Linked DNA regions of Saccharomyces cerevisiae S288C. Changing the gene in region 2 together with the main gene of any one other region gives a genetic interaction. Each region holds a gene or a part of one and is shown on either strand. Other genes may lie near its edges. The genes, in order: YJL107C, MGT1, PFY1 and MPC3.

What was found.
Region 1: mutations in MGT1 (region 2) and YJL107C together harm fitness more than expected from each alone (negative genetic interaction), as found in Saccharomyces cerevisiae (one large-scale study listed by BioGRID).
Region 3: mutations in MGT1 (region 2) and PFY1 together harm fitness more than expected from each alone (negative genetic interaction), as found in Saccharomyces cerevisiae (one large-scale study listed by BioGRID).
Region 4: mutations in MGT1 (region 2) and MPC3 together harm fitness more than expected from each alone (negative genetic interaction), as found in Saccharomyces cerevisiae (one large-scale study listed by BioGRID).

Annotation. Positions count from the first base shown.
Region 1 is NC_001142.9:216,544-225,511, reverse strand, and holds YJL107C (uncharacterized protein), read left to right. Parts: upstream 1-5,495; coding exon 5,496-6,659; downstream 6,660-8,968. Other genes in the region: SET4 (Set4p), read right to left, coding at 1-457; protein kinase IME2, read right to left, coding at 2,185-4,122; pheromone-regulated protein PRM10, read left to right, coding at 6,656-7,807; snoRNA-binding rRNA-processing protein UTP10, read left to right, coding at 8,203-8,968.
Region 2 is NC_001136.10:95,357-103,381, reverse strand, and holds MGT1 (methylated-DNA--protein-cysteine methyltransferase), read left to right. Parts: upstream 1-2,314; coding exon 2,315-2,881; downstream 2,882-8,025. Other genes in the region: YDL199C (uncharacterized protein), read left to right, coding at 29-2,092; TRM8 (tRNA (guanine46-N7)-methyltransferase), read right to left, coding at 2,961-3,821; mitochondrial 54S ribosomal protein uL10m MRPL11, read right to left, coding at 4,158-4,907; ACK1 (Ack1p), read left to right, coding at 5,429-7,300; RTN2 (Rtn2p), read right to left, coding at 7,596-8,025. UniProt on the Saccharomyces cerevisiae protein: Involved in the cellular defense against the biological effects of O6-methylguanine (O6-MeG) and O4-methylthymine (O4-MeT) in DNA. Repairs the methylated nucleobase in DNA by stoichiometrically transferring the methyl group to a cysteine residue in the enzyme.
Region 3 is NC_001147.6:549,164-557,398, reverse strand, and holds PFY1 (profilin), read left to right. Parts: upstream 1-4,511; coding exon 4,512-4,524; intron 4,525-4,733; coding exon 4,734-5,101; downstream 5,102-8,235. Other genes in the region: ubiquitin-specific protease UBP2, read left to right, coding at 1-2,575; Paf1-complex subunit LEO1, read left to right, coding at 2,829-4,223; glycerol 2-dehydrogenase (NADP(+)) GCY1, read right to left, coding at 5,347-6,285; protein kinase RIO1, read left to right, coding at 7,153-8,235. UniProt on the Saccharomyces cerevisiae protein: Binds to actin and affects the structure of the cytoskeleton. At high concentrations, profilin prevents the polymerization of actin, whereas it enhances it at low concentrations. By binding to PIP2, it inhibits the formation of IP3 and DG.
Region 4 is NC_001139.9:972,179-980,214, forward strand, and holds MPC3 (mitochondrial pyruvate carrier), read left to right. Parts: upstream 1-5,157; coding exon 5,158-5,598; downstream 5,599-8,036. Other genes in the region: PFK1 (6-phosphofructokinase subunit alpha), read right to left, coding at 1-1,556; YGR240C-A (uncharacterized protein), read right to left, coding at 2,399-2,599; YAP1802 (Yap1802p), read right to left, coding at 2,697-4,403; LSC2 (succinate--CoA ligase (GDP-forming) subunit beta), read right to left, coding at 5,858-7,141; SDA1 (Sda1p), read right to left, coding at 7,587-8,036. UniProt on the Saccharomyces cerevisiae protein: Mediates the uptake of pyruvate into mitochondria.

The DNA.
Region 1 (8,968 bases), on a different chromosome or scaffold from region 2:
TCATGGAGGGTGTAATTTTATTTTCTTTCGATGATTCATTGTGTGTTACCGAGACCTTGGAATTATCATCTTGATTCTGTTTTTTCAGTGGAAATGGTATGGTGGCAGCAGTTGCCAATGCTACTGCTGCTGCTATTCCTCTTTTATTTGTTGATGCCGTTTTTGATGAGCCTGATGAAGAATGATGGTTGAAAATGCCCCTGTCATTTTGAAATAAATGTAAAGGCGTTGGGCCAGCTGTAGGCATTGTATTGAATGTCCTTATCGGCATATACTGAGGTGAGGGTAATGTCTCTGAAGCTGCACTGCTGACGGACAAGGGTGTGTGATCGCCGTAATCTTTAGACATTGAACTATTAGATGAGTACGACGACGACCGCGATATGACCTTGTCTGTGGTTGTGTATGTCCTTCCTTGCCTGATATGACGAGAAGATAGTGATTCCGGTGAAGTCATTTTGAAGATGAAGCGGTATTTGTAACTTTCTGACGAGGGTACCAATCTTATTCCGGCGTTCCACGCTGAAATTATCTATGCTTTTGTCTTAAAGAGAAGCAAACAAGTAATTTGAATCAGATATATTTCCCTCCTTTCCTTTTCAATAAAAAGTGATGAGATGGCCTATTGATATCAAGCTATGAATAGGGTAGCCACCTTTTATACAAAGTTTCTTAGATGTGTATAGCCGTGCAATACCAAAATCGAGGTTCCTTATATACTTCCTAGTACTATCCAAGAACAATAATAAGGTTTCCTGAAGGAAAAAGAGGTGGTTATTGATCACCAGAAAGTTTGGCATTAAAAACAAACGACAGCACAAAGGAACTTTCACCCTACAGCACCTTCTGTGTGCATGATTACATGTACCCGAGTAGCGAAAAAAGCCAGAAAATGTGCAAGAATAAAGGTATCTCAATGAACGAGCTCGAGCGTCAAGAGACGGGTATAAGCGAAGAAGCGCAATGCCGCCAGCCAAGCAAAGCCAAACGAAGAGATCGACCTTCCATGGGGTCGCAACTTTTCCCGGTGACCTCTACATGTGTGATTGTTAGTTCAGCGTAACAGAGTTTCAACAACATGCATATACGAGTGTGCCTTCGTGCCTGATTTTGGTTGATTATCCGGCTTCCAACCTCGTTAAATTTTCATAAAGTGCATATCGTGTAATGTAAAAAGTAAAAAGATAAAAAAGACTCATATGAAATCTTGCTGCATGGAGACAAGTGCACTCGAATTCTTTACTTATATTTTCGCTCTTGAGCTCGTCCTTTTACTAGCATATCAATATCCGTTTCATTGAAAAGTGGCCTTAGAAACGCGGACACATTAGTCTCGTATGTCGGCTCTCGCCTACTTCTTGCCTATTGTTTCAGTGCCTTTAAACCTTATTTCCCTTCCCTCGCGTGCCATTCGGCGATCTCGATTTTCCGCAAGGGGCCTCAAACGACCGACATCAAAAACCAAAACAAAGGCCAAGCACATCGTTTAGAGAAGAAATTTTGGGGGTAATATGTTTTAACGATGCCATATATGCACCAACTTCTAGGGGAAAGAATGCTTTTGACTATCTCTCCTTCCTTGCATATAGGCCAGATTTTTCCTTGGATTGTGCTGTATTACTATTGGCTCCAAGGAACCTCACAGTGAGCTTTTCCAAACCGAAAGATTTCTCTTGCGATTTCTTCGTATGCAGTAATAGGGTTTTTTGAGAATATACCGGGCATAATGTTGCAGTTATCAACTATCGCACATACAGTAGTAACAGTTCTGGTTGTCCTAGCATTAATGCCGTTTTAATTTTCTGCAGAGTATTGCCTGTGGACAACAGTAACTTATACGAATAAACATACCAAGTTAGGATCTGAGCCGGGTAACCGAACACAAAGATCTCGTTCTACTTTTTTTGACCTCTTGATGAGTTGCTTAACAAAATCAGTAGCCGCCAAGAGCAAGAAATCATAAAATGTTCAAGAAAAACAAACATAAAAATATATTGGAGGGGAATAAACGCAAAGTAATGTCTAATAAGTTAAATTAAAGCCATCGAAAAAGCACTGTATTAATAGAGCAGTAGCTATTTAGGTGAATGCATAGTAATATAATATATATGCGAACATATGTATGTCTATGTGTATATAACTATATAACTGTGCCTAACGATTCGTCAGTCAAATGACAAATTATTAGAAGGTTACATTTCCAAAATGTTGGTTTGAATTGGATAGATGAGGCTCGAACTTTTCCCGTGATTTTTTTAATGTAGGTATCAAGAAATTTCTTGGAGTAAAATCTGGCATTGAATTAAACGAATCGCCTAAAGAGGCATCACCCAAAACATTATCACCTCTATGATGTGACCTATCTGTATGTGTGTAATTTGAGTTGTTCACATATGGTAGAACGATGTCTTCATCAATATCTGCATGTTCATTAAATGGTTGTTTTCTCTGAAACTCATCCTTTTCAGGAATTTCCAGGTCAAAAAATAGCTGTTCCATGTTGTCTGCTTCATCTTTATTTATAATTTCAATATCATTTGTCAACTGCCTAATATTCGATAATGAATGATCTAAGACTTCTTCATCTGGTAGTTGACAAAGGGCCAAATTATTACGAATTTCTTTTGATAATTCAGTCTCATCAATAGAATCTGAAATGGTAGAATCTGTTCCAACATCAGGTATTGAGTGATCATCATTATCTTCTTCAACGAATTCGTTTAAAAATTCTACCAAAGTTAGTTTTTCTTGATTTAATGTTGGTGAGCACATAGCATGAGAATCGTGATCGTTGTTGCTGATATCAATATCATTAGACTCTGTTTCTGCGGGCAATTTTGTTGAAGAGTTAAAATATATGGGCTTTGTGTTGGTCGCTACTGGATTTATACCTGCAAAAATCAATGCTTGTTCTGTATTAGTCACATTGCCTCTTGCGTCTACTTGGGATGCCACGGTGTTTTCAAAAAATGGCATTTCACAAAGCTCTTGGGCTGTTGCCCTTTCATTAGGATCCCATCTTAAACACTTTTTGACAACCTCAGATAAATCGGATAGTTGGGAGCTAGAAAGTAGATGATCCAACGATGAACCTTCTACATAAGGCAATTTCAAGTTTAATTTATGGACCAAATTACTGGCATCATCCCAAAATCCACCAGGTGGTGGAGCTGTGATGTGGTTTGTATTAACAAAATCAGAACGTTTGATAGGTGTACCAAGAACTTCTAAAATTTTCCATATCTGATCGATTTCGTTAGCACCGGGGAAGAGAGCTCTGAATACAGTAACTTCCACCGCCACGCACCCGAATGCCCAAATATCCAAAGGTTTGGAATAGTAACCACTTCTTAATAATATTTCAGGCGATCTATACCATCTTGTGGAAACGTAGGCCGTATACGGGTTTTTATTTTCAACATGGCGTGCCAAACCAAAATCTGCAAGTTTAATGACATAGTTATCTTGATATCCAATCTGGTTCATGTACTCCTTTTCAAAATACTGGGTACTTGGTGTGATAAGAATATTTTCAGGTTTTAAATCTCTGTGGAAGAAATTATGTTCGTGGATGTGTTTTAACCCAGCCAGTATCTGCGATAGAATAGATTTCAAAGAAGGAATCGAAAAAACTCGGCGCCTTCTATGTTTCATCATTTGATATAGGTTTTGCTCCATACATTCCATTACGATATGTAATTGGTAATTTTCAGAGTCAATAAAGACCTCAAAAATTTGTATCAGATGGTCATTCGCTGGGATTGCCAGTATGAACTTAATTTCTCTGACCCTCGTATAATCCTGGAGTGTATGCAGTTTTGTCATCATTGTCTTTATAGCCACTACACCTTGTGTCTTTGTTATATAGTTTTGGTGACCATTTTTAGGCTGATCCATTAAAGTACCCCTTATATCATGTTGTTTACCCAATATGTTCGATAAAGGAAATTGCGCTTTGGCTAAAGTTACACAACCAAATGATCCTGCACCTAGTTTTTCGATCAGCTGATATCTGTCTGATAAAGTCTTCAAAGGGATAGAAAGTGGCGGGTTATCGACATCAGGTGGAACACTGAACTCTGAGCCACTACTGGAACTCTGTCTACTACGTTTTTCAACCATAAATGACCTATTAAGTTAAGCTTAGTACTCTTCTTTTATTACGTCTGTATCACGTTCCTTTTCAATGAATATTTAAGAACACGATTAACTTTTCTGATAAGCCTGGTAAATAAATACAGGTTTATATTCTCTAGACAGCCACCTTAACCGACTGGAGTGTCCTTTATATCTTTACCCAAAAAATAAAACTTTTAGGAGAAGGGGTAACAAACTGAAAAGGGAAAGGGTAAAGTAAAGGTAACTGTAAACTATTTTGAAAGATAGATCTTGTAACTTCTTTCTCGTTGAGTGATATTGGAAAATAAAAATGAAATGAATGTGTGAAGACAGAAGAAGTTATTCAGGAAAAGAAAATGGACAGACCGGTGAGTTGCTACCTTAATATATCTATTTGATTACACACATTACTTCTTTACCTCTTTGCAACCAGCACTTGTCTGTGGCTTTTTGCCGCCGAAGTCTCGCGCCTTTTCCCTGTTGAATTGCATTTAAGACACAAGGCTGACATTTATTAATGATAGAGATTTCCACAAAAACTCAAATAGCCGCCGTAACATAAATTATTGGACAACCGGAGAAAAGGATATTTTAAGGCACCAGCGGGTAATACATCTTTATTTCTCCAAGTTTAAAAAGCGTATTTGGAAAAGCTGTGCCACTCAGATTTTTGTGAGAGTTTTCTTTTTCTACTTACCATGAGTGCGGAGTCTTGGTGAAACAGCTACTGAGAGAATAGGTATCTGGGTTACCAGTGTAGTTAGCTACAACATGTTCGAAATGCATGGTAGAGTCTGGGTTTCGTTCCCTTTGGCTTGTTAAGGCCGAAGATTGCTTTGGTCTGGATGGGCGGAGCCCAAATTTTATTGTTGAACTATTTTTAGATTAAGAAAAACAGCGCCAAATTTTACCCGGCTTATGGCTCCTCCCTTGGTACTCCCATTTTTATGACGTAGCAGTTGTCCCGCTTGTTTCAACTCCTCGAGAAAAGTGGGGCATTGGGTTTATCTGTCACAGTACCACCAGCACGCCGAATGGACCCTCTTTGTCTTAGCCCGACGTCTCCGTAATCAGCGCGCCATTCGTGTTTCTAGTGTCCTTTGACTATTTTCATCCGAAAAATATCGAAGCAAAGCCATCGCCAAAAATTGCGAACCCAATATGACGAAATTCGGAAGAATCTTGAAAAAGAAATAAACCGAATTGCATATTAATATATAACTATGTTTTACGTTTGTTTTAAGCCTACTATATCTGAGAACGTAGCTAAATAAATCTTATATAACACTTACTTACTTACTTAGCGGTGTGCGACTTTTATCTTTTAGATATAGAATAACAAAAGAAAAAAGATCGAATAACCGATAGGCTATACAATGGACGGTAGAAATGAAAAACCAACCACTCCTGTGTCAGATTTTCGGGTGGGAAGCTCCGAGCAAAGTCAAGCGGGAGTGAATCTTGAAGATAGTAGTGACCATCGCACTTCCAATTCAGCCGAGAGCAAAAAAGGCAATTTAAGTGGTAAAAGCATCAGTGATCTAGGTATTTCTAATAATGATAACAAAAATGTAAGATTCACTGCTGATACGGATGCTCTAGAAAATGATTTGTCTTCAAGATCTACAGAAACCAGCGATAATTCTAAGGGCACAGATGGACAAGATGAAGAAGATAGGCCTGCTCGCCACAAGAGGAAGCCTAAAGTTTCTTTCACACATTTAAGGAACAATGGTAAGGATGGAGACGATGAGACGTTCATCAAGAAGATAATAAATAACCTGACTGGAAATCAAGGGGGTTTGGTCCCTGGCTTGGCACCAATACCTTCAGAAAATGAAAATGGGAAGAATGATATAGAAAAAAATAACCGTAATGAAGAAATTCCCTTATCCGATCTAGCTGATGCGTCTAAAATCGTAGACGTTCATGAGGGCGACGATAAAGAAAAACTGGAGGCTCTCAAATTAGAAGGTGACGTAAATTGTACGTCGGATGGCGAAACGTTAGGCTCAAGTTCAAAAAATTCATTTCTGGCTCCTGCAGTGGATCATTTTGATGATTATGCAGAAAACAATTCATCCGACGATAACGAAGGGTTTATTGAAACCTCCACATACGTACCCCCTCCATCTCAAGTGAAAAGTGGAGTACTAGGGTCATTATTGAAACTTTACCAAAATGAAGATCAAAATTCAAGCTCAATCTTTTCAGATTCACAAGCTGTAACAACAGATGATGAAGGTATTTCTTCTACTGCTGGAAACAAAGACGTACCAGTTGCCAAGCGTAGCAGATTACAAAATTTAAAAGGCAAGGCTAAAAAAGGCAGAATGCCTAGACTGAAGAAAAGACTAAAAACTGAAGCGAAAATTACGGTTCACATTGCAGACATTTTACAAAGACACCGGTTCATCCTACGCATGTGTAGAGCTCTTATGATGTATGGTGCTCCGACGCATAGGCTTGAAGAATATATGGTTATGACTTCTAGAGTCCTTGAAATAGATGGTCAGTTTTGTATCTTCCAGGTTGTATGATTGTTTCATTTGGTGATGCAACAACAAGAACTTCCGAAGTTCAATTGGTTAGGTGTACTCAAGGTCTAAACCTTTGGAAGCTGCATCAAGTTCATGCCGTTTACAAAAGAGTTGTCCATGATACCTTAGGTGCCGATGAAGGTAATGCTTTACTCGATCAAATTTTGGCTGACACGAATCTATATCCACCTTGGATGTGTGTTCTTTTATATGCATTTTGTTCCGCTATGGTCACTCCGTATGCCTTTGGTGGCGATTGGGTAAACCTGGCAATCTCATTTTTTATGGGGCTTTGTGTGGGGTCATTACAATTTATTCTTTCACAAAAGTCATACATGTATTCAAACGTCTTCGAAATTTCTGCATCTATTGTCGTTAGCTTCTGCGGTAGAGCTTTTGGCTCTATCCCTCGTTCTCACATCTGCTTTGGTGCAGTTACACAAGGCTCATTGGCATTAATCCTGCCAGGTTATATTATTCTGTGTGGTGCACTAGAACTGCAAAGTCGAAGCCTAGTTGCTGGCGCGGTCCGTATGTTCTACGCCATTATTTATTCTTTGTTTTTGGGTTTTGGCATAACATTGGGCTCAGCTTTGTTTGGATGGATGTATCACAATGCCACTAACGAAATTTCATGTCCTCAATTAATTTCTCCGTGGTTCAGGTTCCTCTTCGTTCCAGCGTTTACCATTAGTATCTCGTTATTAAATCAAGCACACATCTCACAACTGCCAGTTATGGTCTTCATTTCTTGCACCGGTTATGTCGTAACATATTGGGCCGGTAAGCATTTTGCGAATTCGACAGAGTTTACTGCCGCCTTAGCTGCATTTGTCATAGGTGTTTTAGGTAATCTATATTCCAGAATTTGGAAAGGTTTAGCGGTATCAGCTATGCTTCCCGCAATCTTCGTTCAAGTGCCATCTGGTATTGCTTCACAAAATTCGTTGTTGTCTGGGTTGCAAAGTGCAAATACAATTGTTAATGCTAATGAAACCATTACGACAAGCACCTCCGATCCATCGTCCTCAATGTCATTTGGTATGACAATGATTCAAGTTTGTGTCGGTATTTCTGTGGGACTATTTGCTTCTTCACTCTTTGTCTACCCCTTTGGTAAAAAGAAAACTGGTCTTTTCAGTTTATAAGCTCTCACAAGGTCCACTTCGTTAGAAACTTGTTAACCAATGGACCAAGTGTTGCCATTGGGTCATTCTTCAGTATCAAAGAAGACTTTGACCCACTAAGAAAAATTTCAAAAGTAAATTATAAATATAGCATTAAGTACAAATAACATATCAGCTTATGAATCCTTTTTTTCAATTTTATGGTTTCATAGCCAATAATCATAACATACATAGATTAATAATATTCAAGTCACATGACTTTTTTTTTTTTCTTTTTTCTTTCTGCGTTAAGCAAAGAAAAAAATTTTCAGTTAGCGATGAGCTAGATATTTTCGAAGGTGTAACAAATACTTTCTTTATTACCTTTCAGAATCAGACTTATCTAACTGGCCACCAAAGTACGAATAACTTTGAAAATGTCTTCGTTGAGTGACCAATTAGCTCAAGTTGCTTCCAACAATGCTACTGTTGCGTTGGATAGAAAGAGAAGACAAAAACTTCATTCTGCTTCTTTGATTTATAACTCAAAGACGGCTGCAACACAAGATTACGATTTCATTTTTGAAAACGCTAGTAAGGCTCTTGAAGAATTGAGCCAAATTGAGCCAAAATTTGCCATTTTCTCAAGAACACTCTTTTCAGAGTCTTCCATTTCTCTTGATAGAAATGTCCAAACAAAAGAAGAAATTAAAGATTTGGATAATGCTATCAATGCTTACTTGCTATTGGCTTCTTCTAAATGGTATTTAGCACCTACACTACATGCAACAGAATGGTTGGTTCGTCGTTTTCAAATACATGTTAAAAACACAGAGATGCTGCTTTTGTCCACTCTCAACTACTACCAAACACCTGTCTTTAAGAGAATTCTCAGCATTATTAAGTTGCCCCCTTTGTTTAATTGTTTGTCGAATTTTGTTAGAAGTGAAAAGCCCCCAACGGCGCTAACCATGATAAAGCTCTTTAATGACATGGATTTTCTGAAACTTTATACCAGTTATTTGGATCAATGTATTAAGCATAATGCAACGTATACTAACCAGCTTTTATTTACAACATGCTGCTTTATTAACGTTGTTGCTTTCAATTCAAACAACGATGAAAAACTGAATCAGCTTGTTCCAATCTTACTTGAAATATCTGCTAAACTTTTAGCCTCTAAATCAAAGGATTGTCAAATAG
Region 2 (8,025 bases):
CTGTTACTATCTCAGCTTTTTCAAGAAAATGAAACCTCCGTTAAACATGTCACGTTCAAATAAACCACTTACTCAGGAAGCTAATAGTTCGGCGCATATTGATAGGGCACATCAGCTAGCACAGGATTTTAACAGTAAACAGGATGATACCGCACTAACTTCACTGCCCCACAAGAACCCCGACATATTCAGATTTGAGAACAACATCACAGCTCATAGCTCGCGTCGTGGTTCTCTATATAGAGACAGCGATGCTACTGTGGTTTTGCCGCTTTCTGAACATACCCCTAGATTATCAATGGATGATCCATACCGCCAATTACTACAACAGGCTGAAATCTCACAACTACGAAGTAAGAAAAAAAGGCATTCCAGTCGAGTTTTGCGTACTTCGTTTATATCTTTTGTGGTGCTAGTTTCCTCGCTGTCAGGGTTGGACCAAGGCCTCATATCTGGTAACGTTATGACTTTGTCGTTCCAGAAGTATTTTCATTACCCACTTACTTCTCCGCTGGGCAATATAGTGAGCATTGTTAATCTGGGTGCGTTCATGGCGTCGTTATTTGTCTATTCTGGCATCCTGGAGCCTTGTAGCAGGAAAAAAATGCTCCAAATAAGCACAATGATATACTCTTTGGGTGCCATTGTTCAGGTCTTGGCTCTAAACCAATGGTGTTTACTACTGGGTAGATTCTTACTCGGAGTAGGTATGGGCTTTGCCTTTTCTATGGTAATAATTTATCAATTCGAGTTTCCCCTTCCCTGTATAAGAAAACGGACATTAATTTCCATTCAATGCGTCTCTAGTGTCATTGCGTATTCATTCGGAATATGGATTAATTGTGCTTTCAGATATTTGGGCTTTGCATGGAGATACCCTTTGTCAACACATGTGGCACTTGGAATAATACTAAACCTAATGTCGTTCTATCTTATTTTAGAGTCCCCTTCGTGGCTGTTGAAGCAAAAGAACGACGTAGAGGCATTGGTTTTAATATCGAATGTTTTCGATGATGGAAATTTCGAAGAAAACCAAACTCAGTTGAAATTTAGGGTCCTGAAACGAGACATATTATTAAAGTCACACCTTCAAAAAAACTCCTATCCATATGCGTATATCTTAAAGGATTTTTCTTCAATAATAAAATTGTTGATAGGTTTCCAACTTCTCACACGAACAAATGGAGTGGATGCTTTCTTGTATTACTCACCGTTAATATTACAACAAATGGGGAGAGGAGAAAGAAAATCTATCTATTTAACGGGGCTTAATGCTTTAATTTACAGCATCGTAATATTAGCATATGTTCCCTTGGTGTTACGGAAACGTAAAGAGAAAACGAATGTACTCTTAGGTTCGATTGTGATGTGTGCATTGCTATTTACCATATCTTTTACAGACTGGTTTCCCAAGAGCACAACGAGGTATATATCAATACTATTTGCTGTTTTTCTTTTTACGCACTTCATCAGTTGGGATTCTATAGGATGGGTTATGACCATTGAGCTTCTACCTCACTTGTCACAGGCCCCAGTGATACTACTAGTCTCAAACTTTTATTGGATTTTTAAGTGGTTCGTCAGCTTAATAACCCCTATACTTATTGACCGTCTGTCTTGGAAGTTTTATCTTATTCCATCTTTATCTTCCTTTATTTCCATTATATTTGTGCTGAAGATTTTTCCTATAGAAACCCGTGACGAAAGGTTAGATTCTGATGATGATTCTACCGGAAACGGTAGCGGTAACCATGATGATGTTTTTGACGATACCGGTTCTGAATTCTCCTCCTCACCATCTTTTTCCGCGTATCAGATAAACACTCTAGGAAGTAGTATCAAACAAAATAATCAAGCCTATTCATCTATTCAAAATGAGCAGATTCTACCCAAAAACGGAAACTTATCGAACCAGACACACGGTTCTGCACAAAATGTTTATTTCATTACATCTGATTCAGGACCATCAAGGACTGGAGAATTTTTCAGTTTTCATAACAGAACCGATCCAAATATCAGCGACAACATTGCTGCGAATAAACCCAGTTCAGGTGGAGGCCAGAATTCGCCTGGAGACATGGCAGTTGCCTAGTATGGCCTCATAAAAATATTTGCTTCATCCTAAGTATAAATGTTTAGTTTTATCCTACATACATATTCTTATTATAGTCATTAGAAAAAAGGCACGGCGCTATTGGCCTGGCAGGGCATTTAAAATGCGGTGGAAACAAGGAAGATTAATCAAGTAATGATATAGCATATGCACAAAAAAAAAATTGAAAACGGTCGCATTTTTGATCTAAATGGACCAACGATGAAGGAACTGCTTTACTATACATTCATTGAAACTGAAGTGACTGGTGCATTTTTGGTGTTTAGGGAAAAGACTCAAAACCTTGTTTTTGCCTCGTTAGGTAATGATAAGCTTTTTTTATTGGGAAAGGTGGAAGGCTTCTTGAAGAAACATGAGAAACAGGATACAATGTACGATTTACAGGAACTAAAAGAGGCAGAAACATATAAGAAATCAATCGAAAATTATACAATATGTTTAGAAAACAAAATGCCATTACCATCGGGCGCTATTCCCTTTGAGTTCCTGTTTGGAACAGATTTTCAACGTAAAGTTTGGAATGAGCTTTTAAACGTGGAACACGGCCACGTCGTAACATATGGTGATATTGCAAAGAGAATAGGGAAGCCAACTGCCGCAAGATCTGTCGGAAGAGCTTGCGGCTCAAATAACCTGGCATTGTTAGTACCTTGCCATAGAATCGTTGGTAGCAATAGAAAATTAACCGGATATAAATGGAGCTGTAAACTGAAAGAACAGTTATTAAATAATGAAAAGGAAAATAGCTTAAGCCTTAGTAGATTGTAGTTGGATAAAGGATTTTAGGAAAATAAACATAAGAAATAGTTATGTATATGTGGTAAATTGTTCTAGTTATACATCTATGTTACAATATGGCTGGCGTTGGTAATCTTGTGAAACAAGCGACGAACTTGTCACCCTTCTTTCTTTCCACTTTTTTACCTTCTTCTGTGGCATTTCTCATTATTTTCACACATTCATCGTTTTCTTCCCATTCTTTGCTCAACCGTTCAAATAAAGGATGCTCTTCTAAATGTTTTACCATCCACTCATGCAGGTCTTTGACGTCTGTAATTGTGTACACGACACCGCCCTCTTTCAAAACATATGCGTACTCACTCAGCAAGGTGTTAGTGATAATTCTTGCCTTATGCTTTCTTTGTTTGAAATGAGGATCGGGGAAACAAAAAAACATTTTAGAAAGCTGGCCCTTTTCAAAAAAGTTGGGCAAGAATTTCATAGCGTTACCTCTCAAGACATTAATGTTTTGAAATCCATGTTTTGAAGCTGTATTGTTCCTTAAGGCAATAATTCTATCCTCCACGTAATTTGTAACCTGCACACGAATTTCCATCCCTAAGATAAGATCTTCAGGGAAGGCTGGTGATAAATCTATCATCAACCCACCGAATCCACAGCCAATATCAGCAATCGTCACCTTCTTTGTCATTTGTCCATTTTCCGCGTTTTTGTAGTAAGGGTACAATTTGGACCAATCCATATCCTGGGGAGATACTGGGTACTCTAACTGGTGATCTGAAAATGGGTTGGAATGCGCCCTTTGACGATAATATCTCTTCTTTGGCAAGTCGATCTTTTGGCCTTCTTGCACCAAAGAACTTTCATTGATCTTTACATGCTTCAACTCCTTACGATTTTCTTCCTTATTTATACGGTATGCGTAACGCTTGGAGCCTGGATCTTGGCTTAGTGGCTTGGCTTTCATCTTAACAATAAACGCTTGAAAATTTTATCCTATGGGAACTGCTGAATCTATACTAATCCAGCTTTTGTGGCGCTTTAATAAAGTGAAATGTCAGAAATATCCTGAAATTTTTTGCTGAAGTCATCACCAAAATTTTTCATTTTTTTTTTTTTTCAACGGTCGCTGAGATATGTAAAAAGGTAAGAAAGGTAAAAGAAAGGTAATTTTGACGTCAATACATAGACTAAAGTATATTTACCGTTATTGCTTCATTGTCTTTTTATTTTTTGATGATGTATGTACATGATTGAATAGTAAAACCTTTATAAAACTTGTCGAATTACGGGCATTTTCTTTTTACTTTGATCCCTTCGATTCTGCATCTGTAGTTGACTCCACATCCTCTTTAGGTTTTTGGTTGTCATTGTGAGATTTTAGTGTTAAATACAATGCATTTGAACTGTTTTCCAACGTACGAACCAAACCCAACCCACTTAGCATTTGCAAAACGCTGACTAACTGCGACTGCATTTCCGGCTTTGTGGGGAGAGTCTTAAAAGTGTTTATTTTTTCCACATTCAAAACTTCGTTTTCTACTTTTGCACCAATCACCATCAGCTTGTCTTGTGCTGACTGCAGAACCTTCAATAGCTTGGCTACTTGTTGAGGGTTGGTGTCTTCGTATGTAATTGTGGCCGTAGGACCCTTCAGTAGTGGCAAGAGTGGATGTTTCCAGTTTTGCTCTTTACGCTTCACGAATCCACATGGGTCGGGCAGATGCGAATTTCTCAAGTAGACTTCGAACAGGTTGTTTCTTACTTTTGTGAGTTTCCCTCCTGTCTGTTTAATCTTGAATCTGAAATGGTGATCTTCTGTTTTGGAAAGATTATTGTAATGGACAAAAAAAATCATAGAACTGTTCTCCATTAAATGCTTGTATGTATCGATGAGAAACGTCTTCCTCGAGTCCAGCGGCTTTACTGTCTTTCTTGAGGGTTGTTCAGAAGCCAGAGCATAAAATCTCTTATGTACTGTACCAATTGTCTCCTTCAAACCAAAAAAACCATTTCTGGGGACCCATCCAGGCATAAACCTTAGCTGCAACATTATTTATAATCACACTCCGCGCCCAAGCACTTCCAATAAGGTCTAAAGCTTTTGTTTTCCTTACTCTTCAATTGTACTAACCTTCTTTCTTTTCTCAGTTTACTGCTATAACTCTACGTTTTTTTCTGTATGAATCTCTACTAAGCCCTAGGGTTATTAGTGTATAAACGTTAGGTTACACTATGAAAAAGACTTGTTTAATAGGTCATATAGTAAAAAGCTTAGGTTAAGTGCCTTCAAGAACGAAACCTAATTTTAAAATTGACGACTAATTATCAAGTGTATTGAAGATGGCTTGAGATGAACCTTAGCACTGGATGCTATGGCTTGTAGAATAAGCAGATATCCCGGTAATTTAATTTGAGTTGCTCAAATTATATACAAGAACGTGGTAGAGACTGGATTTGGAAGCGTCTCTTTTTATGAAGTAGATTTTAACTCCGTTTTCTTTTCATTTCCTTCTATTCTTTTGTACAGAGTGTACCACCACGTTTTAATACTTTGTTTTAATACAGTAGGCAATGGTTAATCAGGGCCAACCGCAACCTAACCTCTATGACAAACACATTAACATGTTTCCACCAGCAAGGGCGCGGGAGTCCTCGCATAAATTGGGAAATGCCAATTCGGATAGGCATGGTTTGCCAGCTCAAAATATAGTGCCTGCACCCTATCCAGTGGATGACTCTATCGTTGAACTCACACCAGCTATTCCTTTTACATCCCCTTCATCTTCCTCATCATTATCGCTGCCTTTGAGTGCGCTGAATTTCACAGACGGGAATGCTGATGGTGGTCAATTAGGCACTCCAGTAACCATAAATAGTAATAACGGCATGGACATTTTTAATTCCAAGCCAACAGGTGAAATAGGATATGCCAATAATGGCACCAACAGTACTGGTAGTAGGTATGAACTTCCTTTCAATTTTAGTTCTACAAAAGAGAGTTTGGGTTCACCAGCTGTACAAGATGCATCAATAAGCAGTGGAAATCGAATATCAGAGTCTGTAAGGGACAACTCAGCGCCACCACCCTATGAGGAATCTGAATCTAGGATACTGCAGGAAAAAGTTTACAGAACCGAGGAAAAAGCTCCAATACGACCTTTGAATAATAATCCTGTTCCACCACAAAAAATCAACCAACCACCCACTGGGAGCGCGAAGACAGACGATAATGGGTCCTCAGGTGGTGAGGACAAACTGTCTTCCTATTCACCAGAGGCATTGGCTTTCTATCAAGTGTACAAGAAGACAATTACTGACTCTTCAAAATTCACCCCCGAGATACAAATGCAATGGTGTGAAACATTACTTACATATGCCTTTAATGAGGATTTCATATCGCAATATAACATAAACGCGGAGAAGCTCAAAAGAAGCTTAAAGCCTGAGGAAATGCTCAAAAACCAGAAAGTCATTTTGGAACATTCATTCAAGGTGCTCACAAAATTGATAACTTTAAAATGGCCACCTGCCATGTATTTAATGGGGACGCTGTATTCACACCAACCCTATTTACCTATAAAGAACAAAAACATCGTTATTAAAAATGATGAAAAGGCGCTGGAATATTATTGTAAAGCTGCGAAATTGAACAATTCAGATGCATGCTACCGTGCAGGTGTATGCTTTGAATACCAAAGGGGCACCTCTTCTTTGGATCCATCACCAACCAAAGAACAATGCATAAAAAAGGCCTTCCAATACTACCAGCATGGCGCAGAAGTTTGTTCAAATTCTGCGTGTATGTATAAATTAGGGATGAGCCATTTATACGGTCTGAACATGCAAAAGACTGATGTATTGCTAGCTATTAAATGGTTTGATAAAGCTGCCCAAAAGGGTGACTCTCCACAAACATTATATGAGTTAGGTAAAATATATGAATTCAGTGTTTTGCCGCCAGAAATCCAGAACCTATTATTTGCGAACGGCATACGAAAAGACTCTCAACTGGCAATAAAATACTACCAACAATGTGCCAAAGATTTTGAGTACCCTTTAGCGCAATGGAAATTAGGAAATTGTTATGAGTTTGGAGACCTAGGGTTGCCAGTGGTGGCCAAAAAATCCATATATTGGTATTCCAAAGCTGCTGCTGCTCAGCCGAAGGGGAATCCGATGGCAATGTTATCCTTAAGTGGATGGTACTTAACGGGAGCACCAAATATTTTGAAACCAAACAATAAAGAGGCATTCAACTGGGCCTTGAAGAGCAGCAAGTGTTCAGACGGTAAATTAGCCCGCACTGAATTTGCCTTAGGATTTTATTACGAAAAAGGTGTCGGTTGTGAAGTTGATTTGGATCTGGCCAAACAATATTATCAGAGGGCTGCAAGAATGGGATTCAGGAAGGCAGTTGATGCTCTTCGAAGTTTGACAAATTAACGAATTCGCATTTCTTTATTATGCCATAAATCAAATATTATTCAGGACATTAGTAAAATATTGTAACATTCTCCTCAAAAATGAGAGGAGAATAAAAATAACAAAAGCGAAGAAATGCGACGTCATTTACTCATTATTTTAAACTAAATAAAAAAAATATTGTAACTACTTATCGTTGTAATGATATCTTTTCTTCAAAAAAATATATAGTTGGTGATAAATATGACCTCTTTGAAAAAAAGAAAAGGAAATGAACTACTAGCTAGAAAGAAGAGAGAAAAAAAAAAAAACTAGATTATGCGTGTTGCAATTTTTGCTTTAGGCCGTGCGTGGTTTTGTGTAAGGTTTCATTATTCTTGATGGGAATCGATTGGCTTTCGGCGGGTTTAGTGGTGTGTCTAGTTGGAGCTGGAACGGTGATTGGATCTGGGATTTCCTTGCTTCCTACCAGATTGTAATCACCATCTTTTAGGTTTTGCTCCAGTTCACGCTGATGAGCTGCTAATTCTTCTTCAATATCAACTGTTCTTGGATCATATGTCTTGACATCTGGTTTACTGAAGTTTTCATGCCTGTTGTTGAAATCCTTCTCTGTTGGTATTTCCTGCTTCCCAGATTTTAAGGTGCCAATATTCTCATTCTGAGAAACTGGATATTCGGCTCGGTTATATTGAGAGGTAGAATAGCTGTCTTTGCCACTTTTGGAGGCTGACGTGTCGTTCATG
Region 3 (8,235 bases), on a different chromosome or scaffold from region 2:
AACACTACCTTGGTTCCATTTATTGGGAGAATCCAGAGCAAGGATTCTATTAAATTCCAATGAGCAAACTCATTCGCCTTTGGACGCAGAACCTCATTTTATTAATCTTTCCGTTTCGCATTATTATACCGATAGAGATATAATCAGAAACTACGAATCTTTGTCTTCTTTGGATCCTGAAAATATTGGGCTGTATTTTGACGCACTGACATACATTGCAAATAGGAAGGGGGCATATCAATTGATTGCTTACTGTGGAAAACAGGACATTATAGGCCAAGAAGCTCTAGAAAATGCTTTGTTAATGTTTAAAATTAACCCTAAAGAGTGTAACATCTCCGAATTAAATGAGGCGACTTTGCTATCTATTTACAAATATGAAACATCAAATAAGAGCCAAGTAACCTCTAATCACCTAACAAATTTGAAAAATGCTCTAAGATTGTTGGCCAAATATACCAAATCTGACAAACTAAAATTTTACGTCGATCATGAGCCCTACAGAGCTTTATCCCAGGCATACGACACACTTTCAATTGACGAGTCTGTTGATGAAGACATTATAAAAACTGCATATTCGGTCAAGATTAACGACTCTCCCGGATTAAAGTTGGATTGTGATAGAGCACTTTACACCATTGCTATCAGTAAAAGAAGCCTTGATTTGTTCAATTTTTTAACAGAGGAATGCCCACAGTTTTCCAACTATTATGGTCCAGAGAAGCTTGATTACCAAGAGGCATTGAAGCTTCTTCAAGTGAATGAAAATGCCTCTGACGAAACCATTTTGAAAATCTTTAAACAAAAGTGGTTTGATGAAAACGTTTATGAGCCTGACCAATTTCTTATTTTGAGGGCAGCATTGACCAAAATCAGTATAGAAAGAAATTCAACTTTAATCACCAACTTCTTACTAACTGGTACGATAGATCCAAATTCCTTGCCGCCAGAAAATTGGCCAACTGGCATTAATAATATCGGGAACACCTGTTACCTAAATTCTTTATTACAATATTACTTTTCCATTGCGCCACTAAGAAGATATGTATTGGAATATCAAAAAACGGTAGAAAATTTCAATGACCACCTCTCTAATAGTGGGCATATTAGAAGAATTGGTGGAAGAGAAATTAGTAGAGGCGAAGTGGAAAGATCTATTCAATTCATATACCAACTTCGCAACCTTTTCTATGCGATGGTTCATACAAGAGAAAGATGTGTAACACCCTCAAAAGAGCTAGCATATTTGGCATTTGCTCCAAGTAATGTTGAAGTAGAATTTGAAGTGGAAGGCAATAAAGTAGTTGATCAAACAGGAGTTCTTTCGGATTCAAAGAAGGAAACAACGGATGACGCATTTACTACAAAAATAAAGGATACAAGCCTGATTGATTTAGAAATGGAAGATGGCCTTAATGGCGATGTTGGTACAGATGCGAACAGAAAAAAAAATGAATCGAATGATGCTGAAGTAAGTGAGAACGAAGATACAACAGGATTAACTTCACCTACGCGTGTGGCAAAAATCAGTTCTGATCAATTAGAAAATGCTTTGGAAATGGGTAGGCAACAAGATGTTACTGAATGCATAGGAAACGTGTTATTTCAGATAGAAAGCGGTTCAGAGCCTATCCGATATGATGAAGACAACGAGCAATATGACTTGGTTAAGCAACTATTTTATGGTACTACTAAACAAAGTATTGTTCCTTTGTCCGCAACAAATAAAGTCCGTACGAAAGTTGAAAGATTCCTATCGTTACTGATAAATATTGGCGATCATCCTAAAGATATTTATGATGCGTTTGATTCTTATTTTAAAGACGAATATCTGACAATGGAAGAGTATGGTGATGTTATACGTACCGTTGCTGTTACAACTTTTCCTACTATTTTGCAGGTACAAATCCAAAGAGTTTATTACGATCGTGAAAGATTAATGCCGTTTAAATCCATTGAGCCCTTACCATTCAAAGAAGTTATTTACATGGACAGATACGCGGATACAGAGAACCCTTTATTGTTGGCAAAAAAGAAAGAAACAGAAGAAATGAAGCAAAAGTTGAAGGTAATGAAAAATAGACAAAGAGAGCTTTTGAGTCGTGATGATTCAGGGCTTACAAGGAAGGATGCATTTTTGGAGAGTATCAAGCTATTGGAATCGGATACCATAAAGAAAACTCCTTTAAAAATTGAGGCTGCTAATGATGTGATAAAGACGCTGAGAAACAACGTTCAAAATATCGATAATGAATTGATGAAATTATACAATGATATCAACAGTTTGGAAGAGAAAATAAGCCATCAATTTGACGATTTCAAGGAATATGGTTACTCACTGTTTTCGGTTTTTATTCATCGCGGCGAGGCCAGTTATGGTCACTATTGGATATATATCAAGGACAGAAATCGCAATGGAATTTGGAGGAAGTACAATGATGAAACCATCAGTGAGGTCCAGGAAGAGGAGGTCTTCAATTTCAATGAGGGTAACACTGCAACTCCATATTTCCTAGTATATGTCAAACAAGGACAAGAAGGTGATATTGAGCCATTGAAAAGAATTCTAAAGTAGTCTTAGTCAATGAAGAGTTTATGTAAAATGTCACTATTGCCATAAGTACCATTATTATGTAAAAAGCTTTGCCATATTCAATCGTTACGGGTGACTATCTGCTACGTAAAGAAAAACGAAAAAACAAAAAAAAAAAGAACAAGCTCATAGAAGTGAATACGAAAGCTGAAGAAAGTCGTTAAGTAGATAGGTTGCGTAAACTAGGTGCGTCCAATCAAAGTAATCCAATTAGATATACTGGACTATAATTAAGATGTCATCTGAAAGCCCACAGGATCAACCACAGAAGGAGCAAATCAGCAATAACGTCGGCGTTACCACCAATAGTACAAGCAATGAGGAAACAAGCCGCTCTCAAGATGATAATGTCAAGGAAGTCAATGGAAATGATGATACTAAAGAAGAGGAACAAGAAGAAGACGCAGAACTAGATGATTTATTTGGAGATGACAATGATGACGATGATGATGATGATGTTAAAAAATCGGAGACTGAAAAAAGTGATAGTGATAGTGATGAAGACGACGAGGGAGAGAATATCAACCATAGAAGTCGTCATAGAGAAAGTCTCGGGTTAGATGATGATGAAGCAGAGGAGCAAGCCATGTACACCCGAAAATTTTATGGTGAGGATGCTAATAACTTTTCTGATCAAGATGAGACTACTCACACTTTTAAAGAGGAAAATGTAGAGCTTGTCAGACATATTATTCCAAGTAAAGCTAATGTGAATGAAACGGCGTCTCACAACGAAATTTTCTATGCTAGAATTCCCAACTTTTTAACTATCGATCCAATTCCTTTCGACCCTCCAAGTTTTGAGGCCAAAGTAAACGAAAGGGCAAGCAATTCAGCTTCTAGGGAGGATCAACTGGACGACCGCCTGATTGATGAAAACACTGTTAGATGGAGATACTCTCGTGACAAAGACCAACATGTCTTTAAAGAATCAAATACACAAATAGTGCAGTGGTCAGACGGTACATATTCGCTAAAAGTTGGTGAAGAGTGTACAGATATATTGGTCAACGATACGAGCAACACTTTTTTGACAGTATCGCATGACCAACAAGAGTTGATCCAGTGTTACGAAGGGGGTGAAATAAAAAAGACGTTGATGTTTATTCCAACTTCGACGAATTCAAAAATACATCAAAAACTAAGTAAAGCTGTTATAAGAAGGAACCAAAGACAAAGCAAGGGTCCTGGAACATACATTGTAAGTATGGATCCTGAAGTGGAAAAGAAGGAGTTAGAGAGAAAGCAAAGCCAGATTTTAAGAGACAGAAGGAGAAGACAGCTCAAAGAAAAGGAGAAACAAGAATCCCCAGATGCCGCTTTTGAGACGGGATTTAGAAAGCAAAATTCACCCACTACCTATGGAGCCTCGAGAAGAAATGAATATGAAGAAGATGACTTTTTAGTCGACGACGATGAGGAAGAGGAGGCTGCGTTTGACGACGAAGAGGATGATAATGAGGAAGAAGAAGAAGAAGAGGACGCGGATGAAGAGAACGCCTCTCGTCTAAGAAATTTAAAAAGAGAAGGAGCAGCAATGTACAGAGAAGAGGAAGAAGAAGAAAAAGATAGGAGCGAGACAAAAAGAAGAAGGGTTGCGGTCATCGAGGACGACGAAGACGAGGATTAGAGGAGACGTTACTTTGTTTATATATATTAGTATGTACAATCGCAAAGAAATGGAGTGATGACATGTTGTAGTATTTAGTATGAGGTTACTGTGTGGGAGGTTTTACCATGATTTTTGGCGAGAACACGCCATGAAATGTCTTTGTACGAAACTCATTACCCGCATTAATATTTTTTTTCTTTTTAAAGCTCAGTTGACCCTTTCTCATTCCCTTCTTAAAACAACTGTGTGATCCTTGAGAAAAGATAAATTACATACACAACATAAACCCAACTACGATCGCAAATTATGTCTTGGCAAGGTATGTGAACGAGACAATTATCAATTGATTAAGAAAGAAATGAGTCGGAGGTTAGCTTGTGTGACAATGTTTGGCAATGCCCGATTTTTGTTGATGCGCGTAATTTCGAAGATTAACCACTCAGAGTAAATTACTAACTGGAATATCAAAAAACATATGAAATTTCAAACATGAATTTCTTTCCGTTTTTTTCTCCTACTTTTAAACAGCATACACTGATAACTTAATAGGAACCGGTAAAGTCGACAAAGCTGTCATCTACTCGAGAGCAGGTGACGCTGTTTGGGCTACTTCTGGTGGCCTATCTTTGCAACCAAACGAAATTGGTGAAATTGTTCAAGGCTTCGACAATCCAGCTGGTTTGCAAAGCAATGGTTTGCATATTCAAGGCCAAAAGTTCATGTTGTTGAGAGCTGACGATAGAAGTATCTACGGTAGACATGATGCTGAGGGTGTTGTTTGTGTAAGAACTAAGCAAACCGTTATTATTGCTCATTATCCACCAACCGTACAAGCCGGTGAGGCCACCAAGATTGTCGAGCAATTGGCTGACTACTTGATTGGTGTTCAATACTAATTTATGCAGGTAAAGTTTTCTTGCCTTATACACCACCTATTCTGGCATCTGCGGGATTTCGCTTCCTATTTTACAAATATTTTATTGATTGACGCTAATTATCACTGTAAAAGGCGCACTTTTTATATGTAGTCACATCCGGTATTTAACATATTTACGAAACAGTCTTAAGAATATCGACATTTGATATACTTATGTTTAATTTATCTACATATTACAATCATACGAGAAACACGCAAAAACAATTACTTGAATACTTCGAAAGGAGACCAATTTGGATGTACAACCCTTTTTTCGCCCTTTTCCTTCGATATGTTATTGATAGCTTCAAAGTCCTCAGTAGACAAAGTAAATATTTTCCTGTTCGTTTTGATTCGATCGGGATTCACAGATTTTGGCAAGACAACATAACCTCTTTGGACGTGCCAGCTAATAACAACGTGTCCGGGTTGAACGTTATTTTTCTTCGCAATTTCAAGGATAACCGGTTCCTTCAATAGTGGAGCATCGGTACTACCTAACGGAGAATAAGCTTCAACCACAATGCCTTTACTTTTACAAAAATTAATCAATTCGTCTTGAGGTAGTAATGGATGTATTTCGACTTGGTTAGCAGCTGGCGTAAGCTTATTACCTTGAGATGCTAATAGATCTTTCAGGTTATTTATAGAAAAGTTGGAGACTCCAACGGCCTTAGTTTTACCAGTCTTTGGTAGTTCCTGCATTAATTCCCAGGTTTTGATGAAATTCCAATTGGTGATATCCACTGCACGAGAACCATCCTTCTTTGTTGGCACACTCAAGATGTCTTCATTTTTGATGTAGGCTGGATCTAATCTGGCAGGCCAATGCATCAAATATAAGTCTACGTAGTCCAATCCTAACCTCTTTAGTGATTGATCCAGCGCTACTTCAGGTTCGTGGTGTTGTGTACACCATAACTTTGTAGTAACAAAGATTTCTTCCCGAGGAACACCTGAATCCTTGATGGCTTGACCGACTTGGTCTTCATTACGGTAAATAGCAGCAGTATCAATGTGTCGGTAGCCATCTTTCAAAGCGGTTAAAACAGCCTTATAAGCATCGTTCTCTTTCGACTGCCACGTACCTAAACCTATTTGAGGGATTTGGGCTCCAGTATTTAGAGAAAGGATTTTCGTAGAATCATGTAAAGTAGCAGGCATTTTTCTATCTTAATTTAGTAATGAGAGCTGTCCAAATTTTAGCTTGCTAAGATGCACCTATTAAGCTCTCATCCTGAATCAAGTCATTAGAATGTCTTGATTCTCCCGGTTTTATACGCCCAGTAAAGCAATTCTTTACTGCCGTAGTCTTTTCCTGAAAGCTCGGTTTCTACTCTAGGGAATTAAGGAGAGCAGCGGTGTGCGATTCGTCACACGGGTGAATGCCTGATAGGCATATTATTAAGCCGTGTTTGCAATCTGCGTGCTAGATTGATTCTACCCCTTTCTGAGAAGGCGAAATGACCTTGCTATGACAATGAGGGAGAAAAGACCGCCCTTCCTTGTTCTTCCCCGGAATAGTCTGCCCCGATTGTTCGCCGGTGTTATAACTTACAATTCTTATACACTCCATAGGAAGTTTGTTGACAAGAGTTAAGTTTCAAATATCTAAAGCCAGGAAGTATGATCACCCAAGCATATCCATTGCAATATGTAAGACATTCAAGCGGATTTCTGGGACTTTAGAAAGTGAAATTTAAAAAAAAAAAAATTTAACAGAGGTCATACTTCCAAAAAAAAAAAAATGTAGAACTGGGCGAAATATCATCAGCTCATTCACTCTAATGCGGCCCTTCTGTAACCTCGAGCAAAGAGCCCAAATAACTTCATCTCTTCTCTCTTACGAACTGAAATATTCTCATGTTACCTATTGAGTAGTTGCGGGGACATTGGCGCGCGCAGAAAGAGTGAAAAATTTTATAGTGGAATATAGAAATTGAGATGAGATGAGATACTAAGACTAAAAATAATAGTAAAAAGAAGTTAAAACAGATTTAGAGATTCAAACTCCGTTATTTTTAGAAGGTCATGTCCTTGGAAGATAAATTTGATTCATTGTCTGTGTCGCAAGGTGCCTCGGACCATATTAATAATCAGCTCTTAGAGAAGTATAGTCACAAAATAAAAACTGATGAATTATCATTCAGCAGAGCGAAAACATCAAAGGATAAAGCAAATAGGGCGACTGTGGAAAATGTCTTAGATCCGAGAACTATGAGATTTTTGAAGTCTATGGTCACCAGAGGTGTGATTGCAGATTTGAACGGTTGCTTAAGTACTGGGAAAGAAGCTAATGTTTACCACGCTTTTGCAGGTACCGGTAAGGCACCCGTAATAGATGAGGAAACAGGCCAGTATGAAGTTTTAGAGACAGACGGATCCCGTGCAGAATATGCCATTAAGATTTATAAGACCTCTATCCTAGTCTTCAAAGATCGTGAAAGATATGTTGATGGTGAATTTAGATTTAGAAATTCCAGATCTCAACATAATCCAAGGAAAATGATTAAAATTTGGGCTGAAAAGGAATTTAGGAACCTGAAAAGAATTTATCAAAGTGGCGTCATTCCAGCTCCTAAGCCAATAGAAGTTAAGAACAACGTCTTAGTTATGGAATTTTTAAGCCGAGGTAATGGATTTGCCTCACCTAAATTAAAAGATTATCCGTACAAGAATCGTGATGAAATTTTCCATTATTATCACACAATGGTGGCATATATGAGATTGCTGTACCAAGTTTGTCGCCTGGTTCATGCCGATTTGTCAGAGTATAACACCATAGTTCATGATGATAAACTATATATGATCGATGTTTCCCAAAGTGTGGAACCTGAACATCCAATGAGTTTAGATTTTTTAAGGATGGATATCAAAAACGTTAACCTTTATTTCGAGAAGATGGGTATAAGTATTTTCCCTGAAAGGGTTATTTTTCAATTTGTCATATCAGAAACTTTGGAGAAATTTAAAGGTGATTATAACAATATTAGCGCCTTGGTTGCATACATTGCTAGTAATCTACCAATAAAATCTACAGAACAAGATGAGGCAGAAGATGAAATATTCAGATCGCTGCATTTAGTTAGATCATTGGGTGGATTAGAGGAAAGA
Region 4 (8,036 bases), on a different chromosome or scaffold from region 2:
GGGGTAAATTCCAGAACGGCCTTAACAGCATCGACACCTTGTAGAGTAGCTAACCATCTGTCATGAGCAACAGCTGTACCACCTCTTTGAACGTGACCTAGAATGGTTACCTTGGTGTCTAGACCCAATTCAATCAAAGCATCTTTGACGTCATTGGCAGTAACAGGGTTTAATTGATCATCTAAAGCACCTTCAGCGACAATAATTGTGTTATTTCTTCTACCCTTACTTCTGTGTCTTTGGCACACTTCCTTCAATTCGTCCTGCCATTTTCCGTGAGGAACAGCTCTTTCTGGAATAAAAATGTAATCGGCACCGGTAGCAATACCAGCCATCAAGGCCAACCAACCACAATGTCTACCCATAACTTCAACAACAAAGGCACGGGAGTGGGATTTAGCGGTGGCATCAATGTAGTCAACCATTTCACAGATTCTTTCCAAAGCAGAATAAGCACCAATGGTAGAGTCAGTACCAGACATATCATTATCGATGGAACCGACAAGACCAACAATGGACAAATTCTTGTATGGGGCGACTTCTTCTTTAGTGAATCTACCTTCTGCAACCAATTCATCAACCAAAGATGGCCATTCGTGTCTGAAAAGATCAGCACCGGTTAAAGAACCATCACCACCACAAACAACCAAAGCGTCAATACCTTGCGAAATTAAATTGCCTGCAGCTTGTCTACGACCCTCACGCTTTCTGAATTCCATAGAACGAGCAGTACCAATCAAAGTACCACCTTCACTTAACCAACCTCTGACATCTTCCCAAGCCATTTTCTTTAAATATTTACCGCCTCTTAGTAAACCTTCGTAACCTTCGTAAACAGCAAAAACATCACAGCCGAAATGTATACCTGTACGAACAACGGCACGAACAGCGGCATTCATACCTGGAGAATCACCACCAGAAGTCATGACAGCAATCTTCTTCTTCTTTTGAGAAGAGCCCAATGTTTGTCTTAGTAAGTCAGAAGCATCGGAAGAAGCTCTAGAGATGATTTCGTCTTCGGAGGTAGCTTCTAAGAAAGCATCTTTGGAAGTTGGAGCGGAATCGGTTGCATTAGCTAAGCCTGAGAAGGTGATGTTGTTGCCCATTGGATCTTTCAAAAACACTAAGGTATCGGACAATTTTTCGGCTTGTTTTGGGAATTTCTCGACAATCTTGTTCAAATCAGTAGAGAAATAAGTGATTGTGGCGGTTTCGTTGGTGTCGAAAGTTTCATCGATTGGAGCAGACATCACTAAACGAATCTTTAATAGAGCACCTTGACTTTGAGCCTTGTTAGTAGCTTCTTGTTGTGGTATACGGAACCCAGAAGCATCAACCTCACTCAACTTGAAAGATTCTAACCAAACTTCTCTCAAGGAATCTTGGGAAGTCCCTGAAGATAGTAAGCTATTTTCACCATGTTTGAATTTGTTGAAATCTTTCACAGTTGCAAATCCTAGAGTGTGATAAAAGTGAATGGTCTTCTTGAATAAAGCTTCATCATTTGTGATGATAGATCTGAATGCAACACCGTAGCATGAATCTTGAGATTGCATCTTTGATATGATTTTGTTTCAGATTTTTTATATAAAAGCTTTCCCAAATAGTGCTAAAGTGAACTTAGATTTTTTGGTACCTGTTTCGAAATTAAAAATAGAAAAATTTCTCTCCCTATATTGTTATTCTTACTTCAAATTTGTTTATCGTTTATTTACTAGGCGAGACTTGAGTAGACGACAATCCAAATAGAATTAACAGATTTTATTGGTAGAAAGCAATAATATTCTTTAGATGGTTGAGAATAAAGAAGTAAAAAAACCAGTAAAGAGAAAAAGAAAAGGAAGAAAATTAAAGAAAAAGGATGATTACACAAGAAGATAATAAAAAAACTCCTTTATTAAGAGCGGAAGAATTTAATAATGAAGATGGGAATAAGCAAAACAAAAACAAAGAAGGGAAAAAAAATAAAAAATCGTATTTATTTATTTAAAAAATCATGTTGATGACGACAATGGAAAAAAAAAACCGATTTCACTTTCTCATCCTTATATTTTTCAAAGGTTGATGCAAGTCGATCTCAAATCGGATAACGCTGCCAACTGGGAAATTCCGCAATTCCGCAAGAAAAAAAAAAATGTGAAAACGTGATTGCATTTTTTACAGGTCCTAAAGGATTTAGCCCACATATCAAGAGGGTGGCAGTAATTGCACTGATTAAGCATTCGTCAGCATTAGGCGAATGTGTGCATGAATATTGCCAGTGTGCTCGATATTAGAGAGTACATTGAAGAATATTGTACCGGATTATGTACAATAACTTTGTTAATGAGATATTAATTTTCTTTTTTACTAGCCGCTATCCCATGCACGATGCTAAATTTCAAGAAGAAACTGAGATTTAAAAAATTAGTGGAAGCTGATAAAACGGACTATAATGGTGTATGGATTGAGGAATCTCGACATGTTTTTCCATCGTTTTCAACGATGACTGTAACCCGTAGATTGAACCAGGCATGCCAAAGTTAGTTAGATCAGGGTAAAAATTATAGATGAGGTTATATGTATGGTACGTAAAATTTACATGTTTGGATAGTATCATAAAATATAGAAAGGTGGAAGGGATTACCTAAAAATCAGAGTTTATAATATGCAAGGACGGCCTGTTGAGAACAAAAAACTGTAGTATCTATCGCTCACTATATATCTATTAAGTTAGGATTTTCTTGCTGATGCTGCTGTTGTTGCTGTTGTTGATTGATGGGGACAAACGCAGTGGGAACCATAACATACCCTGTTTGCTGACCCTGCATCATTTGTGGTTGCTGCTGCGCACCAGTAGAGGCATACTGAAGTTGACCGGCCACGGGATTCGTCATGTATGTGCCCATTGGTGATGTCACCACGTTTTGAGCCTGAAATGGATTACCTGTTTGACTATGAGCAAGAATCGGGGTGGTTTGTGCTTGTTGGAGGGTAAAAGGATTTGGGGAGTTTTGGAAATTTTGTTGTTGCTGTTCTCTGGCAATATTTTCTAGCGAAAATGGGTTGTTAGACCCCGTTTTTGTTGGATCTAAAGTGCCGGTCATAATTGCATTGTTCTCGGTGGTCGTGTATCCGCCGAACCCTGAGCCGGTGAAATTTGGGGTGTATTGAAGGTTAGAAGCATACATCCCAGTTTGTTGATTATTCAAATTTGGAGTAATCTGTATCTCACTTGGTTGTGGCATTGTAGACGCAGATGTCAACTGTAAAGCCTGTTGCTGTTGTTGCGGTATCAAGAAGGGGTTAGCAGTTGGTTGAGGGACTTGAGCGGTCATTTGTGGCTGGGTTGGTTCGAATGAAAAGGTGTCATTATTTAAATCTTGCTGTTGTGATCCAAATGGGTTGTAAGCATCTTGTGGGACCGTGGGGGAAATGAGCAACTGTTGGTTTTGTAATTGTTGCTCCAGCAGTCTTTTTTGTTCCCTTATCTGTTCCAGTTTCTTCTGCGCTATAGACTTATTCTTGTCATTGCTGTTGTTATTGTGACTACTGGTAGAGCTAATGGCCGTAGATGGTTTTCTATCTTGCTGCGGTTCAGAAGGTTCACCTCTTTGTCTTTTTGTTTCCTCTCTCAAATGCTCCTCAAGGGAGTTAATTAACTTTGTAGTAATATGTTTGATAACGGGGATTTTCAAACCGACAGCTTTTCCTATTTTTAGGTATCTAACAACATATTCTGTCATATCCACGAAATCCTTATAGAGATCCAGTGTTCTTTTTGCGTGCTCAATGGACAATTCGAAGAATGATTCTAAAAGTGTAATGACACCTTCATTAAGAGCATTGTACAGACCTAGTAAATCTTGTACTAACAATTGGAATGCATACAATAACAAATGGTTTTCTAAATCTGAAACAGAGTATTTATTCCTTATCAAGGCATTAATTTGAATTTCCAATGATTCAACATGATCTAGCTCTTCATCCATTGAAAGCTGGTTCTTACTGCCCAGCTTTAGCGAGGAGTAATTGTCTCGTAGGTGATCCATACCTAGCCTGCCATACTCTTCACAACGTGTTTTTAGGTATTCGTCGTATCTCTGCAAAGCCCTCATATCATTGGAAGACCACTTAGTAGTATGCGAAATCTTTCTCAATTGGAAAACATCCAAATTATGGGAATAGTGCCTTAGCGTGACATCTTTTTCGCCTTGTTGTATCATCAGATGCAACACAATCAATGCCTTATAAACAATGGTCCAGGCTGTATCAGACAACCTTATATCCAATGCGTGGGTAATCTCTTGCAATCCTCTTGCGCTCGAAGTGCCCGAGAGAATAGGGTCCACATATTTTTGCTTTGGAGGGGCCATCTTTATTTTGGTCGCCCCTTTAACCAACTTAGTATATAATGAAGACATTGTTTCACAAACACGCCTCTATATCTATTATAGGGGTAGCCGAGACAGTCGCGCTTGTATGCTTGATATTGTTACTCTCGTAGATGTTAGCAAGCGTAGCAAATTGGTACTCCTGCTACAGATTTATTTTTTCTCCTTCTAAAATTATAACTCAAGCAAGAAGCCCTAATAACAAGTTAACCAGACTAATAAGTCGACTTTTTCCTCGAATGTAGAAAAGAAACTTTTCTACGCAGCTGCAAACTTAATCTATCCCTCCACCAAAGCAAAATGAAAACAAAGCCATACTGGGAAAAATCTGAAAAAAAAAATGGTAGGAGTAAAAGAAAAGAAAAAATAAAGGTTACCCTGCAGTTTGGATAGTCGGGTAACATTTGGCCCTTTTCCTCCTTGATTGGATATTATTACCCCGATTACCCCTCATCTTGGGAGTGCCCCGCTTTTATTTCTCCCGCCAATCGGCTATTAACGGCTTTACGTCATTCCGTGGGCGGGTCAAGCGAGCCGCTCCCTGGTTTGGTCACGCAAAACCGAAAGGCTCAAACAAAACTAAGGCCATCATATATATATATGCGGCTGCGTGCGTGTATTCTCCCGGATAATATGGTGCGTTGCAATTGGAGTATTGGAGAAAATTTTCTTTTCCCTTTCATTACGGCGGAAATACTTCATATAAAAAAAAAGAATACAATCAGTCTTTAAGACTATACGCATAAGCATTCAAGACACATAGAAACACAAACCTATATTTTTAATGTCAGCATCAGCTTTTAATTTTGCCTTTAGAAGATTTTGGAATAGTGAAACAGGCCCTAAAACAGTACACTTCTGGGCCCCAACTTTGAAGTGGGGGCTGGTCTTCGCAGGGCTAAATGATATTAAGAGGCCTGTTGAGAAGGTATCAGGAGCACAAAATTTATCTTTATTAGCGACGGCACTGATTTGGACGCGTTGGTCGTTTGTCATCAAGCCCAAGAACTATCTGTTAGCTTCCGTCAATTTTTTCCTGGGTTGCACTGCAGGCTACCATCTAACAAGAATTGCTAACTTTAGGATACGGAACGGTGATTCTTTTAAACAGGTTATTCACTACATAATAAAAGGGGAGACTCCTGCAGCCGTCGCAGCAAAGCAAACTGCATCCACATCGATGAACAAAGGTGTGATCGGTACTAATCCGCCAATAACGCACTGATTACGTAAACGATAATATGTTCCTGAACTCGCATTTTTTTAATGATTTTTTATGACCTCTTATATATTCTTTCATTATATAACCTCTATATTACATCAAAAGATGGAAAAATATAAAAAAATTAAAAAAAAAAAAAAGAAATTTTTTCCAAAAGAGTATATTTATATGTATGTATACATGTAGGGAAAATAAGAAACTTTATTAATAGTAAAAAAGCATATATACTTTATTATTAACTCTTTTGTTTTTCTCGAGAAGCTTAATTTTGGGTCAATTCAACGACCTTTTTAGCAGCAGGATCTAATTCATCAAACGAATAAATCTTCACGCCTGACTTATTGATAATGTCGCGGCCTTCTTCTACTTTGGTACCTTGCAAACGTGCCACAATGGGGACCCTAACTTCTAGTTCTCTGGCGGCTTCTACCAGCCCCAGGGCAACATAGTCACATCTTACGATACCGCCGAAAATATTGACGAAAATTGCATCTACGTTCTTATTGGATAAGATCAATTCGAAACCTTGTTTGATGGTCTCAGGGGTGGCACCACCACCACAATCCAAAAAGTTCGCAGGATCGCCTCCATTTAATTTGATGACATCCATAGTAGCCATAGCCAAACCAGCACCATTGACTAAACATCCAATGTTACCCTTCAACTTAACAAAATTCAAATCATACTTCTTTGCCTTAACTTCATCAGGATCTTCTTGTGATAAGTCCCTCCAGGAATATATCTTTTCCTGTCTGAATGATGCGTTATCATCAAACCCAAATTTGGCGTCTGTACACATGATTTTGTGGGTTGGATCATGTTCAATTTCACTCAAAGGGTTAATCTCCACTTGTGTAGCATCCCTTTCCATGAATATTTTATACAAATTGGAAACAGCTTTTGCTGCCTCGTCTTGTGCATCGGGACTGAAACCGAGACTCTTGGCAACATCCTTGGCCATTTGTGGGCTCAATCCCTTTGAAGTTTCAATTGAAAATTTCTTTATAGCATCTGGGGTTCTCTCAGCCACCTCTTCAATATTCATACCACCTTGACTGGACGCAATGATCATCGGTTTCTTGGTTTGTCTGTCCATTAGAATAGATAAATAAGCTTCATGCTTTGTATCTACTCTTTTCACTATATATACAGCAGATACTGGCTTCCCCGCTATTCCCGTCTGTTTAGTAATCAGGTTATGATTGAGCATTTCTTTTGCAACATCCTCTGCCTGCTGAGGACTTTCGATCATGTGAACACCGCTTTTGTAACCGGTGTCGAAGTGACCTTTACCTCTACCTCCGGTCAATGCCTGCGCCTTGATGACCAGTTTGTTAGTGTTTAATTTCTTGGCTGCTTCGAAAGCCTCTTCGGGAGTGAACGCTGGAAATCCTTCTGGAGTACCAATACCGTATTCCCTCAATAACTGAGCTGACCTGTATTCATGAATTGACAAGTGTCTCCTTGCTTGTAAAGCAGCTTGCGCGTTTAGCCTGCTTAATTGCCCACACTTTGAAATTAGGGATAAGGATTTTCTTGAGTACATTTTGTTCAGTTGCAATGCTTCAGTATTTTTTTCGATTGTATTGACTCAATCCTTATTAATCCTAACTACCTAAAAGTCAGTTACAAAAAAACTGGACTATCGCTCTATAGTCACTGTTATTTTTCGAGAGAAAACGTCAAAGTGCTGATAAGGAAAACGTCGATCTTATATAAAACCTCAAAGATGTTGACTACGCGGCAATTGAAAGGCCAACCAACTTTTAGAATACTCACTCCGCCGCTGCGGGGAAAAGCCGAGAATTCCCGATGAACACATAATCGATACCAGTTGGAGCATTTTTCTCTGTACCAAGACATAAAAAGAGTTTTTTTTAGTATCTACCTGGCTTTGGTGTTCCATTCAAGGTAGAGAAGTCCTCATACAGTTGGAGAGATGAATGTATCTGTGTATATGTATGTATATATTAATATGGCTACGATGTCGTCTAATACCCCTTCTTCTTTTGTTTGGTGATGTGTGCACGTAACACTTTTTGCTTGTCTCGTAGTGACATTTTTTGTTTACCTCTAACAGATCTCTTGTGAATAGACATAACAAAGTTCTTCCTTCTTTCTTTTTCTCTGTTGGTAGTAGAACGCATGTTGTCACGCTTACCGCGTCTACTACCAAATTTGTCTCTACCTTCACGACCTTCCAACACCTTTTGTAATCTTTCCTCACGAGACTGTTTGTATTTGATAGGGCCTGTTAGTGTACTTGCATCAACTAACTCTTCACGCTTGTCTTGTTTGTGGATACCCATTATTTTAGCAACGCTTTCCTCATTACGCAATTCTTGTAGTTTAGCGAAATCTGCCGGAGTTAAAATACGTGTAGAAGCAATTTCACGGAAGGCAGCTTCGGGATCTATATCTGCATCTTCTTGCTCATCCTT